Linked DNA regions of Daphnia pulex. The protein of the gene in region 2 interacts with the protein of the main gene of each other region in a pairwise test. Links are inferred from orthologs where the notes say so. Each region holds a gene or a part of one and is shown on either strand. Other genes may lie near its edges.

The links.
Region 1: the proteins of DAZ-associated protein 2-like (region 2) and UBX domain-containing protein 6-like interact in binary tests that used the Homo sapiens proteins (3 or more experiments, as listed by UniProt). The link is inferred for Daphnia pulex from reciprocal best matches to the Homo sapiens genes DAZAP2 and UBXN6.

Annotation. Positions count from the first base shown.
Region 1 is NC_060023.1:5,740,716-5,747,565, reverse strand, and holds UBX domain-containing protein 6-like, read right to left. Parts: upstream 2,883-6,850; 5' UTR 2,450-2,882; coding exon 2,389-2,449; intron 2,327-2,388; coding exon 2,003-2,326; intron 1,950-2,002; coding exon 1,819-1,949; intron 1,747-1,818; coding exon 1,498-1,746; intron 1,440-1,497; coding exon 906-1,439; 3' UTR 661-905; downstream 1-660. Other genes in the region: synaptojanin-1-like, read left to right, coding at 1-340; aurora kinase A-like, read left to right, coding at 3,927-4,036, 4,128-4,313, 4,369-4,503, 4,563-4,721, 4,788-4,961, 5,026-5,178, 5,239-5,284; integrator complex subunit 1-like, read left to right, coding at 6,743-6,775. UniProt on the Homo sapiens protein: May negatively regulate the ATPase activity of VCP, an ATP-driven segregase that associates with different cofactors to control a wide variety of cellular processes.
Region 2 is NC_060021.1:6,407,857-6,415,414, forward strand, and holds DAZ-associated protein 2-like, read right to left. Parts: upstream 4,438-7,558; 5' UTR 4,280-4,437; coding exon 4,255-4,279; intron 4,174-4,254; exon of another isoform or gene 4,154-4,173; coding exon 3,915-4,153; intron 3,849-3,914; coding exon 3,708-3,848; intron 3,626-3,707; coding exon 3,443-3,625; 3' UTR 3,263-3,442; downstream 1-3,262. Other genes in the region: extensin-2-like, read left to right, coding at 1-546; uncharacterized protein LOC124193795, read right to left, coding at 744-1,035, 1,098-1,207, 1,270-1,394, 1,461-1,677, 1,741-1,839, 1,899-2,096, 2,164-2,232; serine/threonine-protein kinase PLK1-like, read right to left, coding at 5,210-5,419, 5,484-5,730, 5,793-5,946, 6,011-6,169, 6,248-6,654, 6,717-6,812, 6,875-7,092, 7,156-7,380 and 1 more. UniProt on the Homo sapiens protein: In unstressed cells, promotes SIAH1-mediated polyubiquitination and degradation of the serine/threonine-protein kinase HIPK2, probably by acting as a loading factor that potentiates complex formation between HIPK2 and ubiquitin ligase SIAH1.

The DNA.
Region 1 (6,850 bases), on a different chromosome or scaffold from region 2:
CCTACAACAGCAGCAACAACAGCAGCAAGCTAAAGATTGGAACGTTGGTAATAGCGCACCACCGCCAGTTGAACCTCCACCACCAGCTCCTCCAGTTCAAGCTCCTCCAGTTCAAGCTCCTCCACCTGTCTCCCGCCCTCTCCCTCCTGTTCCCGCCCGTTCTACAGTTCAAGCTTCAGCTGTTCCGTCAGCTCCTACTGTCGTACCAGTACGAGAAGCTCAGCCCTCCAACGGAATTTCAACGGCTTCTCAACCCCCACAGTCGTTTAACGTAGTGAGGGCTCCTCCACCCATCCCAGCCAGGAATCTTCCACCTGTCCCTCCCCGCACGGCAAAATAACAAGTAAGTGGTTGACTGCCTGCGACTCCAGTGAAGATTAACAGTATTCATTCCTGCAAACTCTTCAAAAGTATCAACCGGAAGTTTGTTTGTTTTTCTTTCATGGCAAAAATTTTACTTAATTTAAATGTGTTGCGTGTTTCTTTAAATGTCTGCTTCTAGAAGTGATCAACAAATACTCTACAGCACTGATTTAGAAAAAAAAATTGTTTCAGGCTTATTCCACAATAATTCATATCTACCAGCAGAAACTTATACCCCAGTCACCGTAAACTTATATACTGTATTTTAGACTAATTGAAGGTACGCGTTGATTCAGGTTGTGTCGAATGATCCATTGTGTATCGGAACTAGTCATACTTCTCAACGGACTTCATTAATACCAACAAAACAGAATACATCCGTTGTCGCTGTTTAACACCTAAAGGAATTTTTGTTTATCACTTCGCAAAATAAAAATGCCAAAAAAAAGAACAACCAAATGAAAACAATATGTGACTAATGCAGAATTTTATCTGGAAAAGGGTTCAAATATTTCATGGATGTAGTGAATAATAATAAGCAATCACATGGATTGCATAAGGATCATTAACTCGTCTTTCAAGTAACCAGAAGAGGATGCAACGGCTGGAGTGAAATGAAAAATTGCTGATGGACAGAGTTGAAGATCAAGTAGAGTTGAATCTTGAATGTCCGGTTGGTTAACCACACCAGCCGGAGATACTAAATTGAACTCTATGAAGGGTTCTTCGAGTGCATCGCAAACAAACAAGCGAACGTCTTGCATAGTCTCATTGACTTTGAACGTTCCTTGGAGCACGGGACCATCCGGAAACTTTATGCGGATCAGGGTAAATCGGTATTTTCGTGATGCAGCCTTCTCATCTCGTTCCCTCATAGCCCGAGTACGAAGCATCAAGCCTTTCTCAGCCGCCTCGGTTTTCAATTGTTGTTCTCGTTTGATTTCTTCGGTTGTAAGCCAAAAAAAGTCCGAAGGCAATTCCACCCGTTGGGCAGCTTGCGATGGCATCAAAATTTGTATTCCTCTATCCAAATCTGGCCGAATCGCTTCCGCGCTTATCAAGCCATCACGTAAATTCTGCAATAATAGGCAATCTATAGTTGAACCGTATTCAGGAATAAAATGAAATTTTTACACTAATATATTCGATGTGTTCTGGTTGTGTGTTTAATAAAACCCAGAAGTCCTCCGGCTCCTGCTGAGCATTTTGTATAGACTTTAACTGGAAACCAGCTGCTTGCAAAAATTGTTGTACTCCTTCCAGCCGACCTACTCGTTCTTGGTACACTTTGTTATTTATACGAATTTTATGATACTTTTCCTCAGCTGGGTTCTGTACTATGTTATCCAAATAGCGAAACAATGTTTCAACACATTGCTGAACCTATATCGTCGATTAATCGAGAGAGAAAAAATGTGAAATAGATTTCTTTATTTGAAAATGATAAAAAATAACCTTTTCTTGAGGCTTATTTAATGTGTGTATAACTAGACAAGCAGTAAGTCCTGCTTCCTCATCTTCTAATTGCTGATAAAGAAACTCCTTAATCAATTTTTCAATTTCTTTTTTAGGCAGTACTTCAGGTCCTACAAATAATTGCATTAATTTAATTTACTATCACAGAGGATACACATACTACCTATCAGTGGGCACTTGTAGTAAACTCCACTAACAGCAAGTTCATTTGAGGATGGAAGTTGTTGGGTTTTCTCAGACAGAGTTAACTTTTGAATTGAAGTATCCTGTTTCTCTAGCTCCAATTCCTTTAATGCCTGGGCTCTTATTATTGCAGCTGATCGCTGTTGGGGAGTAGGGTCTTTTTTCTTTTCAAATCTGGCTAATGCAGCAGCTGCAGCTTGTTGTTGTGCTGCACTAGTTGAAGCTTCAGAACGAGCTTGAGTAGGAGCCAAATTTTTGCTTAGTTTTGGTTGTTGAACAGTTTCATTAAGTTTATGTCCTTCTCCTAAAAAATTACAAGTTTTCATTACTCTTTTAACAAACCCATATTAATTATTATGTTATTACCAGCCAATTTAAATTTTGTATCAGCTTTCTTCTTTTCAAAAAACTTTTTAATTTTATCCATTTTGAATCCTACGCCTTACCACCGTGGTGTATGCTCACTTGGTAGCTTTAACTCAGAAACTGCAGTCTTCAGCTGTTCACTTGAAATTTCGTATTGACTTGGCTTCAGAAATCTCTGTGTTATTCTTTCGCTGTAAATTTTCCACGCAACACAAATAGCTAATACATGGACAGTCAGTATGCAAAAGAAAACTTGTAATAATTTAATTTGGAAATCAGAAAAAGCTGAATCATAAAAGTTCACTAATATTTCTGAGAAATCAATCAACTTTAAGAGAATAGATTTAAATAAACTTTCACAGTGCCCTGGTAACACTTCAACAAAGTCAATGACAAAACTGATTAGAAGATAAATTAAGTTAACGGAATATTCGACGAAAACCTCGACCCACAAAGTAGATTGCTGTTCAACCAAAGTTTCTTCATCCACCTATAATATAGGTATTATGCAAATAATTATACATTCTAGCTTGGTCACTAGGTAAAATAATGCATTTAATTTTAATTATTAAGTTGTTTACCATGCTACGAAATTTAGAATTGAATCCTCGATCGATTCTAGTATCATGAAATGACATGTACTCTAATGATAGCCTTTTGTTTACAAAATATGAAAGAACGAACCAGGAACCAACTGCTGTTTAGCAGTTGCGTGTTTTATACGATCAATTTCCACTACAACCCAGGCCAGACCAGGCTAATAATCTTGTGTCCGCATCGTAACACATATTTCATTTTTGACAGGAAATTGCTGTTGGCAACTATAATCCAATAACGGCAATATGTTCTCAATATTTGCATGACAAATTACGTGATACAATATGACAGACGTTTTCTTTTATGACAAAACCCTTGATGGGCCATACGGGGCTACGTGAATTTCATTTTAGAATTACAGTTACTACGTCGTGCCCTTGGGTCATAATATATTGCATAAGTTTTCAGTTTTCAGGTAGGGTTAATAAAAAAAGGTATGCTACCACGCAATTTTATCAAGGTTACCTAAAAACTCAGTTCCCCAGCCCCCTCATTATGATGTTGCCAACTTTTCAATGATAAAACAAATATAACCCATCGATTTTATTTAATCTTTTACTTTAATAAAATTTTTAGGAATGTTAAAACAATTAGTTAAAATATTATTTTAAAATGTTTTAAATTTAATTGATATTGATCGTTCTCTGCGACCTTGAGTCCTTGACCAATCAGACTTCAAGAGGATGGGTTTACCGTTTAAAACCCCATCGGCCCCCTAGCGTCAATGTTCAAATTTCAAACCAGACAGGGTAGACAAATCTTCTCCGACTTTTAAAGAAGTAACGTTAGTTCCAGACTTCTAGTTGACTTTAGTTACAAAGAGACCTTACTCGAATACTTCGCTGCAAATAAGTATAACTTTTATTATCTAATGATTAGTACTGGCTTTCCAAATATTTAAGAAATTGTTGGGTATTTTGATGTAATAGTTCACGTTATAAATGGAGACCAAGCAACCGTTGAGGGACTTGCAAAACGTGACTAAACCTATGACCACTGCTCCCTTAGCAAAACCGGATGTTAAGCTTGAAAATGAAAGATCAAAACCTAAGTATGCTTGTCATTCTTCTCTTGTTAGACCATTAAGATGTGGATCTTAACAGTTGCACATTGGTGTATTCTCCAATCTTTGATAAACACAGGTGGACATTGGAAAATTTTGAGATTGGCCGTCCATTGGGAAAGGGAAAATTTGGAAATGTTTATCTAGCTAGAGAGAGAAAATCAAAATTTGTGGTAGCCCTTAAAGTCCTATTCAAGTCACAGCTCCAAAAGAGTCACCTTGAACATCAGCTTCGGAGAGAAATTGAGATTCAATCACATTTGAGGTAAAACAATTCTACATTGCATTGCAGTTCTCATAACACATTGTTTCATTCACAGGCATCCCAACATTTTAAGGATGTATGGTTACTTTTTTGATGAAACCAGAGTCTATTTGATTTTAGAATATGCATCAAAGGGTGAAATGTATAAATTTTTGATGGCCCAGCCTTTGCAGCGCTTTGAAGAACCAAGGTAAGCTCAACTTTTAATGGGTTTTCTTGCAGTATCATAAAGTGATTTTCAATAATTAGTGTGGCAAACTACATGGCTCAGTTGGCTGATGCTTTGATGTACTGTCATGCACGAAAAGTAATCCATCGCGATATTAAACCTGAGAACCTCCTGATAGGAGCAAACGGAGATGTAAAAATTGCAGACTTTGGTTGGTCTGTTCATGCTCCATCTTCACGGTATTAGATTGTAGTTTGTAGGAAATGGCTTTACTTCAGTTTCTAAAAATTTCTCTTTCTCAACAGACGCACTACTATGTGCGGAACACTTGACTACTTGGCCCCGGAAATGGTTGAAGGCAGATCTCATGACGAAAGAGTTGATTTGTGGACTTTGGGGATCTTGTGCTACGAGTTTCTTGTGGGAAAGCCACCCTTTGAGGAGGAGAAAACCGATTTGACTTACAAAAGAATATGCAGGCAAGTTATGACTTGATAAGCCACATTTAATGCAGTAATTCAATAACAGCTTGAATTATTTTAGCGTGGATTTGCGATTTCCTCAGCATGTGACAAATGGCGCCCGTGACATCATCAGTAAATTGCTGAAATATCAACCCGAGGATCGCCTGGATTTGAAGAGCATTCTTCATCATGAATGGGTGCAGCAGCATTTGACATCGGAAGTTCGCTCAAAGTAAGGCAATTTGTCTAATAGCATGTGTCTTTCTTTTATAAATTCAATATATATTTTTAGATTGCCTTACTTCCAGTTACAAGACCCAATTCAATCCGAAGTGTAATTATTTATTAATTGAATGCAGTTTATTTGATTTTATTCTTCTGCTGTCCTATCATGTAGTAGATTTCTTCATTATATTCCCTGTTGTATCATAATTTTATCAAATTTCTAATCTGTGTGATCTTTCGACATAGGAAAATAAAATAGACGTATAAATTTCATATGCTACTCTGTATTTATATGTATTGAGATGTGGATAGAAAAGATCGAATACGATCAAAGGTCTTTAAAGTAACAAACTATTGATAAAATATGGAGTTCATACGTCCTGTAAATTAATGATGTTGAAAGCAATCATATTGTTAGTTGGCATTTTTACAATCACAGTTGCCGCACATTTTCTTTGTTCAGTAAAGGATCGGCAGAAAGAGAAAAGAATATTGAGTAATCGATAAGATAGAATAATGTAACCGTCATACCAGTGCGTAGCGCTATGACGGAATCGCAGTAGTAAAAAGGTTCATAAGTATCGTACTTTAGTAACTTGTATCGATAGTATATTTGCCATTGGAACAGTGTATCACTAGTAAAAGGTGTCTCAAATAATAATGTTCAGTAGAAATTGAAATAATTCTTAAAAACTGAACAAATATCTTTGAAACAAATGGCCATTAGTAAATTATTTCATAAGGTGGTGCATCTCAGAGTGACGGAATCGCACTAGTAAAGGTTGCCATTAATAAAAGCTTTTTTTTTTCTCTCATTAATATACAGTGTTGGAAGTAAAGTGTTTCATAAATAAAAGATATCACTGATATTTTGATTATTTAGTAACTGTAAACTATACCCGTAAATAACTAGCTCTTTAAGTAAAATGCTTCATAATAACGTCAAGGGTGCGTATCACTGTGACGGAATCGCACTAGTAAAAAGTTTCTTAAGTATCGTAATTTACAAATCTGTATCAATAGTATATTTGTCATTCGTAACAATGTATCAGTAGTAAAACGTTTTTCAAATAATAATGTTCAGTAGAAACTGAAATAATTCTGAAAAACTTTACATTTGTCTCAGAGACAAATGGTCATAAGTAAATTGTTTCATAATTCTATTTATTTTTTATTTTTATGTCTAAAAAAGAAATGTGAGTATGTGAGGTGACAGTAGTAAAATGCTCCAATAGTATTTAGCAACATTACGACAACGTCGCATGAGTAACCGTGTTGTTAAATAGCAGCTGCGAGCCTGCGGCGCAGGTTCAGACGACAAAAAGGCGTCGACGGCACGAAGGCACAAATCGAGGCGTCGTAGTGTAATTACGACGCATTTTTTGTGTCAAAAGTAAGCATACTTTAGTTAATTGCTCTTATTTTTGCAAAAAAAATAAAATTGTGTATCTTGAACATCCAGGTTTGGAGTTCTTTGGAGTTTGGTGGCCAATTTATGTGAAGTAAAATTTGGTCCATGCAGAAAGAAAGATTGTCAGCCTTTCAGAGAGCGGACTCAAGTTGAATTCAAAATGGAAGACCCATTGAATAACTCTATACATCAGGTAATTTCATGCACATATTTATTGTTAACTGCATTTATTTTAACTGTGCGTGTTTGTTTATCATGCATGCAAAGT
Region 2 (7,558 bases):
CCGGTCTACTATACCACGGAGGTTTATACCACAACCTATGCTGCTCCGAGCTACTATGCTCCTCCGGCTTACACCGAGGCTCCGTATTACACCACTGCTGCTCCTTACTACACCGAGGCTCCTTACTACACCACCACAACTGCTGCCCCTGTGTACTACACTGAGGCTCCCTACTACACTGCTGCTCCAGCTTACTACACCGAGGCTCCTTACTACACCACCACAACTGCCGCCCCTGTATACTATACTGAGGCTCCTTACTACACTGCTGCTCCAGCTTACTACACTGAAGCTCCTTACTACACCGAGGCTCCATACTACACAACCACAACTGCTGCCCCTGTCTACTACACTGAGGCTCCTTACTATACAACTGCTGCTCCGGTTTACTACACTGAGGCTCCTCATTATACAACGGCTGCCCCTGCCTACTACTCTGAACCGGCTTACTACACAACTGAAGCGTATACCACAACTACAGCAGCCTACAAATACGAAGCTCCCACTTACGCTCCACCGAGCTATTATGCTCCTCCAGTCTATTAATAGCTCTAAGTTGTACAAGCTTTTTACCTTGGAATTGTTATTTCGAATATCTTTATCAGAGAATGTTAATAGATTACGTTACGCTAACTGCAATTGGTATTAACTTGTAGTCATTGTATTTCAACCTTAAGGAGGGATTCAGCTCTTCAGTCGTGTAAAGTAGTTAGACAAACATAGTCAACATTAGAACTGAAAGTTTAAAGATTCATGGAGAATGTGGCAATGGAACGACTATTCTTAGCATTATCGACATAGAGACGCCACTCCCTGCGGTTGAAATCAAAAATTCCAGTAGCGATCGTCAATACGATATCCTTCTCCGTTCCGCGACGGTAAATCGGATAATCTTGATCATCGTCGTTGGACAGCATGTCTACAACCTCTCCGATATTAGTAGGTAAACCCAGAGTTTCCATTACATGATGGCGACCGTTACTGCTGAGTACAGCCAAACCGTTATGATCCTCGTTGATCTTCAGTCGCAAGTATCTAATCGATGTAAATAATTTGTGGTAAAATTGTGCTGAACATTGTTTGAAATTGTTGTATACTTATTGCAGCGAACATGACTCTCCCCAGGCGAAATAGTCAAAATGGACAGTTGCGACTCGTTATTCTCCGCAGGTCCTACTTCAGCGCTGTGAAAGAGGATTGGTCCTTCCTGTTTTGGTATATTGATTAATGCCAAATTTAACTAACTTTTCTGATAATTTATTATTTTACTTGTTTCATGAACGACATGTTGACGCAAAATCCGTGAGCAGATCCGGTTCCTCTGTCACGAAGAATGGCCTGAGCGTCGACCAAATTCCGAGCGCTAAGCATCGCCCTTGTCAGGAAATGACGCGCTGAAAAAAAAAGAAGGAACGCAAGTCTAAACTAATCAAACGAAAATTAATTTAATTATCAAGTACGTGTTTTGTCATTATGGACCCTGACAGGTTCTATAATATTGATGGTGTAAACGAGACCGTGCTCATTAATATTCATGCAGAAGCCAGGCAAGTGCCCAGCGTAACAAAGCGACGAGAATCTCTCATGACGTCCACATTTTTCGGTAATATCAGCGTGAACGATGTACAGATGGTTGAGAGTTACTGCAAAAGCGTCTTCCGTGTGTCCCAAAACCACCTAAAAGTAAGATCATTTTTCTTTTAAACTTTCACTTTTATAATTAGTTGAATTAGAACTTGCGTTTTCGTGGTTGCACATGACGCTCGAACAACCGTTTCCTGATAGTTGAGATGACGACGAGGCCTCTAATATCATGCTATCGATGTGCAGTAGCATCAACTAAATAGACAATGTTGGAAAATTATTAACATCCACTTAAAAAGTATTTGAAACTGGACCTTGTAAAAGGGCACTTGACTGCCGTCAGAAATTCCTTGCAACTCATTGACGTAATAAGGGAACTTGGCTTTCATTCGAGCTAGCGTGTCGTCGTAGATTTTCAGTCCAGCAACTGTGTTGTAGGCTGGCAACAGCTCGTCGTTCAAAAATTTCGAGTCTCGAACTAGTTCTTCTATCTGATGTTTAAAAGTGTGGCCCTGTCGGATAGTTGAAAAGTCAAGTTAGAAAGTCTAGGATTGAATTTTGTTTTCCTCTTTTTCTTACCACATCGTAGCCGACTTGATAGAATGTTCCTCGAACGTAAATAACTGGTAGGAAAATTCGGTTTTCCATGTTGCTCTCTCGAAAGATGAAGCGGAAATGGATCCAGTCGTCTTTTCAAAATGAAAGCGTCCACAAGAATCCTTACAACATCGGTCAAGTTTTAATCTTGTTAAGGGCCAAACACGTAAGAAATAATCCACTTTTGTGAGCCAAAACTCATTTCATTTCGGTGCACTTTGCGCATGTTTCTTTTAGAAGTTATTAGCCGGAATAGAAAATTTGCAAATTAGAGAATTCCTTCTTACCAAATAAATTACTTCTCGCGCACTAATAAAACTGACGCCAATTTCTTTGGTCCACCTTCGCGCGTTGTTGATAGTTTTTATATAATCTTCTTACGTGTCGTTATAATACAGATAGTATCGTTGACACAGCGCTTTGATAAAAACAAATCCCGAAGACGTGCGTCACCAAAGTTTAGATAAATCGCAAATAACTGAGCTGTGATTTAACTTGCAATAGCTCGAGAGAATTTCTTGATAAATGTGAAGCCACTTTTCCGCTTACATTACACCTATGTGTATGTATATGTGGATTTCACTTACGCATTTGTTTAACCGGAATGTGAAATCAAAATAATTTATTATAATAATCCTTTGTCTTTCATCAGACGTATTAGGTAATAGATATCTTTATCTGTTTTCAGTCTGACATAACTAAAAAAAAAATTGTATAGTTCTTGTCCCATCCTCATCGATGCTAATTAAATTACAAATTTGCAAGTATAGGCAGATGGTGATACCATGTGACCACTTTGTTTAAAGGAAGACCGCCAGTTGTTGTACCTCTCCACCGAATTTGTATGGGCCGGTGTAATGTTACACTGTCGCAGTTGAGCACTAAATCGGGTTGGATTTTTAATCGAACGGAAGATGGACGCCTTACGACACATTTCCTTTCGGCGGAAGACTTATGGAGCAGATAAGAAAAGAAATTACAGGTACGCTGCTTTGCCCATATTATTTTCAAGGTTGTGTAATTCTTTTGTTTGGTGAAGGATTATGAATAAGTTCCGGCCAATGAAAGACTAAACAAAAGCAAATGTTAGAAATATTTATGTCATGGCACACATTTTCTTTAAGGGCTAAGAGTACTATAACAGTAATACTGTTTCCGATTTTTTGCGCACAACTAACAAATTAATGATTTTATTGAATTTAATAGGTATAATTGGGTATGCATTTTGTTGCTGTTGGTATGGCAGTTTGCAAGAATTTCTTCACCAAAATGTAGCACCTCCATCCGAACCACCAGTGAAAAACCGATCCTGTCTTTGACCTAATACTACATTATGCCCAGATCCGTGCGCCAACTGGGCAGCATTGGGTGCAACACCAGGAGGAGGTGGAGGAATCCTCACTTGTGACGTTGAATCGAAACGCGCACCAGCATCGAATGCTTTCTAATTAATTATTTTAAATAAGAATTAGTATAAAACTTTGACAATTTAACTGGTTGAACTAAGAAATGTAATATGTACTCACTGGAACAACAAAAGTAGCTTGAGGATGGACTTGCTGCACATGTACTTGGGGTTGATGGGGTTGATGGGATTGATATGATTGATAGGGTTGATAGTAAGGCCCTGGGGCATTCATGGGCACTTGCTGCTGCTGCTGGATATGCTATAGAAAAATAAGTCTTGTTTATAAAATTTACTAAAGAAATGTTTATAATTAAACATTTCTTACCTGAACTGGAATGTAAGATGCATTATAGTTAGGTGGGGCAACTGGGTGGTGCATTGCTTGATCATAACTTGGTGGTGGTGGCGGCATTCCAGACATAACCGGCACATAGGGATTGTAAGGACTGGAGGCAACTGCTACAGCTGGATTCACCATATTGTTTCCAGGTGGGTACATTGGGTATGGCAATTGTGGAGGCCCTACAGGCTGCTGCTGCTGCTGTTGTGTTGGATAAGCTGCTGCTGATTGACATTATTGAAAAGTAAGGAAGTTTTTTTTTAAACTGTTATAGCCAAATGTATCCTAATACATCATGGTACTACTTTATATGATTAAATCTTACCCTTTTTTTCATTCTTCTTTGGCATTTCTTCAATTTGCTGATGGGTTACTTGGACTAGAGTGAATGTCAGCTATGTATTTTTGCAGAACTGATCCACTTCTTAATAAGAAACGTCAGCAACTAGTGCGTCAGTACGTGTTCTAATAACGTTTTTGACTCACGATTGGTAATTTTTTTGTTGCGCAAGCAGACGTTATCAACAGAAAACAAACAGTTGATAACATAAACGTTGCCATATTTTGAATCAGTATCGATTTCTTTTAAAATCATTTCCGTTGCGGTCTCAAAAGTCAAAACCAGCTTACAGTCAACAAGTTTTATTGGAATACTATATTTTTAGAATGATTTAAAATTGAAATAACAGTGTATATGATAACAAAAACAACTCATGTCAAGGTGTTGTATTTTTCTAGGTACTTGGTATTCCCGGAGATTCGTCCGGACTTTCGAGGCTGATTCCCATTCTACGTAAGAAACAATGCAAAATATTTGAGGCAATCACAACTGAAGACATGCAAGGGGTGATGATGTAGTGTAATTCTATAAATCGCGAATTGCCAGACGTACAAGAGGAAGACAGAAGTTAAGATAAAGGCAAGGGAGGGGGCATCAGGGTATTGTAATTTCACACTTCATATTCAATCCGAGGTAGGCATGTACTTGAGACGAACAAATCAAAATACATCACAATTTCGTAAATGAGATGAAGTAGTAACACTGCTTGTTAACTTCAAGTTCGAAATTAAGGGCGACATAATAAAAGATAAGTTCGTGGATTAAAGCCTAAATGGGATTAAGTAATTTCACACTTATTATAAAATTTGAAGGAGACACGTAACTTAATTGAATGGTAATTAAGTCAAGAATGGCCATCTAAAAAAAAATTAAATTAAAAGACAGCGAGGGGCAAATTTGATTAAGCGAAAGACGATCACTGTTGGCCAGCGATAAATTTCTACTTTTCCTGAGTATCTACTAACGGTGAGAGTAAAAATGGCAGTTTTTCGTGTGCGTATTGCAGTCTGTATAAGAGATCAGGATTGCAACCGTGTTCAGCCAGCAAAGAAAATTTGAAGGTACGGAAATTTTTCTTCTCGTCGATGACTGTCACAGCTCCCATGAGTGGACAGAGGATCAATTTAACGTGGTCTTTAAAGTAATTAATCTAGTAACACAAAAAGTTAATTATTGATTAAATGAACAAAATAGACTTGATGAGATAACTTTACCTGTAGCGTTCCACTCGTTAGGTGCATGACGACAGCTCGAGATGTGCGGAACCACTGACGTAGGAAAGGCAACCGAAGATGTTCATCACCGTCACGTGGAACAACGGATGCACCAGTCTTGATTAAGTGCTCTTGCATGTAAGAGCGGAAATATGCGAGCAGTTTCACCTTTTTACCCAAGGTAGGCGGATGTTGATCCATAGTGTAATACAACTCATTTCCATTGCGTTCGACGTACTGAATGGTCCTATTGCAATTATTGTAGTTGGCATTTAGGTCTTAATTATTAATAAAAAGTAAAACTCTTACTTTGCGTCAACCAACAGCAAAAGTTTCGTTAAATCATTGAAAATGACACCAATTGTATCATCGCTGAGTTGGTAGCCGAACCCGTATTTGTCAGAATAATCTACCCATTTAGAAATCCATACCATAGGCACTGAACCCGGATCCTCTGCCTCGTCTGAGATCAACAATTAAATAAGTTAAAGCAATTTTAATAATATTTAAATACTTTAAACACGCACCCATCATAAGAGGGAACTTCTCCGCAGGTTTTGCACTGAAGAGGCGGGTGAGCTGTTGCTGAAGCTCACGCAATAGTTTCTCAGGAGAAGGTCCAGCCGTGTAGAGGGCTCCGGCATTCTCAGCATGGTTAGGTTCGTTGGAAGGCGCCAATCCATCTCCTAAACAAAGCAAACACACACACACAAATTTATTGTTAGTATCTGCTCCAATGTGTTGTTTGGAAGTGTTTGAAGAACCTTGTGGATGCTCAGCAGTTCCAGGTAAATGGACTCTGTTAACTTCGCCCAGTGGACGACGAACAGCAATAATGCTGCTATTCAATTTGGCATCGAATCTCGGAGCCATCGTGAGGCATGATAAAGGCAAGCGTGTTGGCATATAACCACATGTCATGAATTCGTCATTCAAAACAATATCGACCGCAGGTCTAGATAGATAATTCTGAAAATCTTTAAAATTACACAACACTAATATCAAGTTATTATACCTGCAGGTTGGTTCACCCTGTAACATTCGAGTTATAAGAGCACGGGCAAGAGGCCCGATCCGAGAGGGAATATGATATTCATTTCGTTTGATTTTACTGTATGTATCTTTGAGAGACTGCGTCTCAAAAGGTGGACGACCAACAAGTAAAGTATACCTGAGGATTTAATACAAAAGTGAAGTTATATTTTAAAAAGAATAAGAAAAAATAGGTCTTACAAAATGCAGCCCATTGACCAAATGTCAACTTCAAAGCTATGGCCTTTTTTGTTGAGAACCTCTGGAGCAATATAGTTGGGAGTACCACAAAGTGTTCTAAGTAAAAAAATAAAATAAATTATAAACAATTCCATGCAGCTACACTTGGTTGCTGTTACTTTTTTCTCTCTCCACTAAAATCTAATTTTGTTGCTAAACCAAAATCTCCAATTTTAAGTTCCATGTTATCATTCAGGAACAAGTTCCCAAGCTTGAGATCCCTGTGAATCATTTTGTTTTCATGAAGGTATTTTACACCCAATAGAAGTTGGTGCATGAAATATCTTGCTTCTGGTTCAGTTACAGCTTTCCTTCTTTTGTGCAATTCCATTAGACTCTATGGAATACGAAAAAACTGTTTCAGTAAATTGTCAGTTTAATTCTGCTAACAAAGACTTACCCTTCTTTTGCACAGTTCCAACACTATATATACAAAGTTATTATCTTCAAAGAAACTGTGAAATCCTACTACATGATCATGTTTCAGACTACGATGAATAGAAATTTCCTGAGCCATTTTATCTTTTTGGTGAGGCTTGACAAGAAGTTGTTTGGAGACGATTTTTCCAGCAAACACTTGTCCATTGTCAAGATCTGTTAGCTCATAGCATTTGGCAAAACCACCCTATGAAAAAACTGGCGTTATTTCCATTTTTCGATTATACTAGAGGTGGATTTTCATTACCTTGCCGAGAAATCTTCCTCTTTGGTACCTCTTTTTGCCAGCAGCATCACACAGGATGTCGGGAATAATATCAGGTCCCGGTTCACTTGGTTTAATGCTTGTCATTTTCAAAAAAATG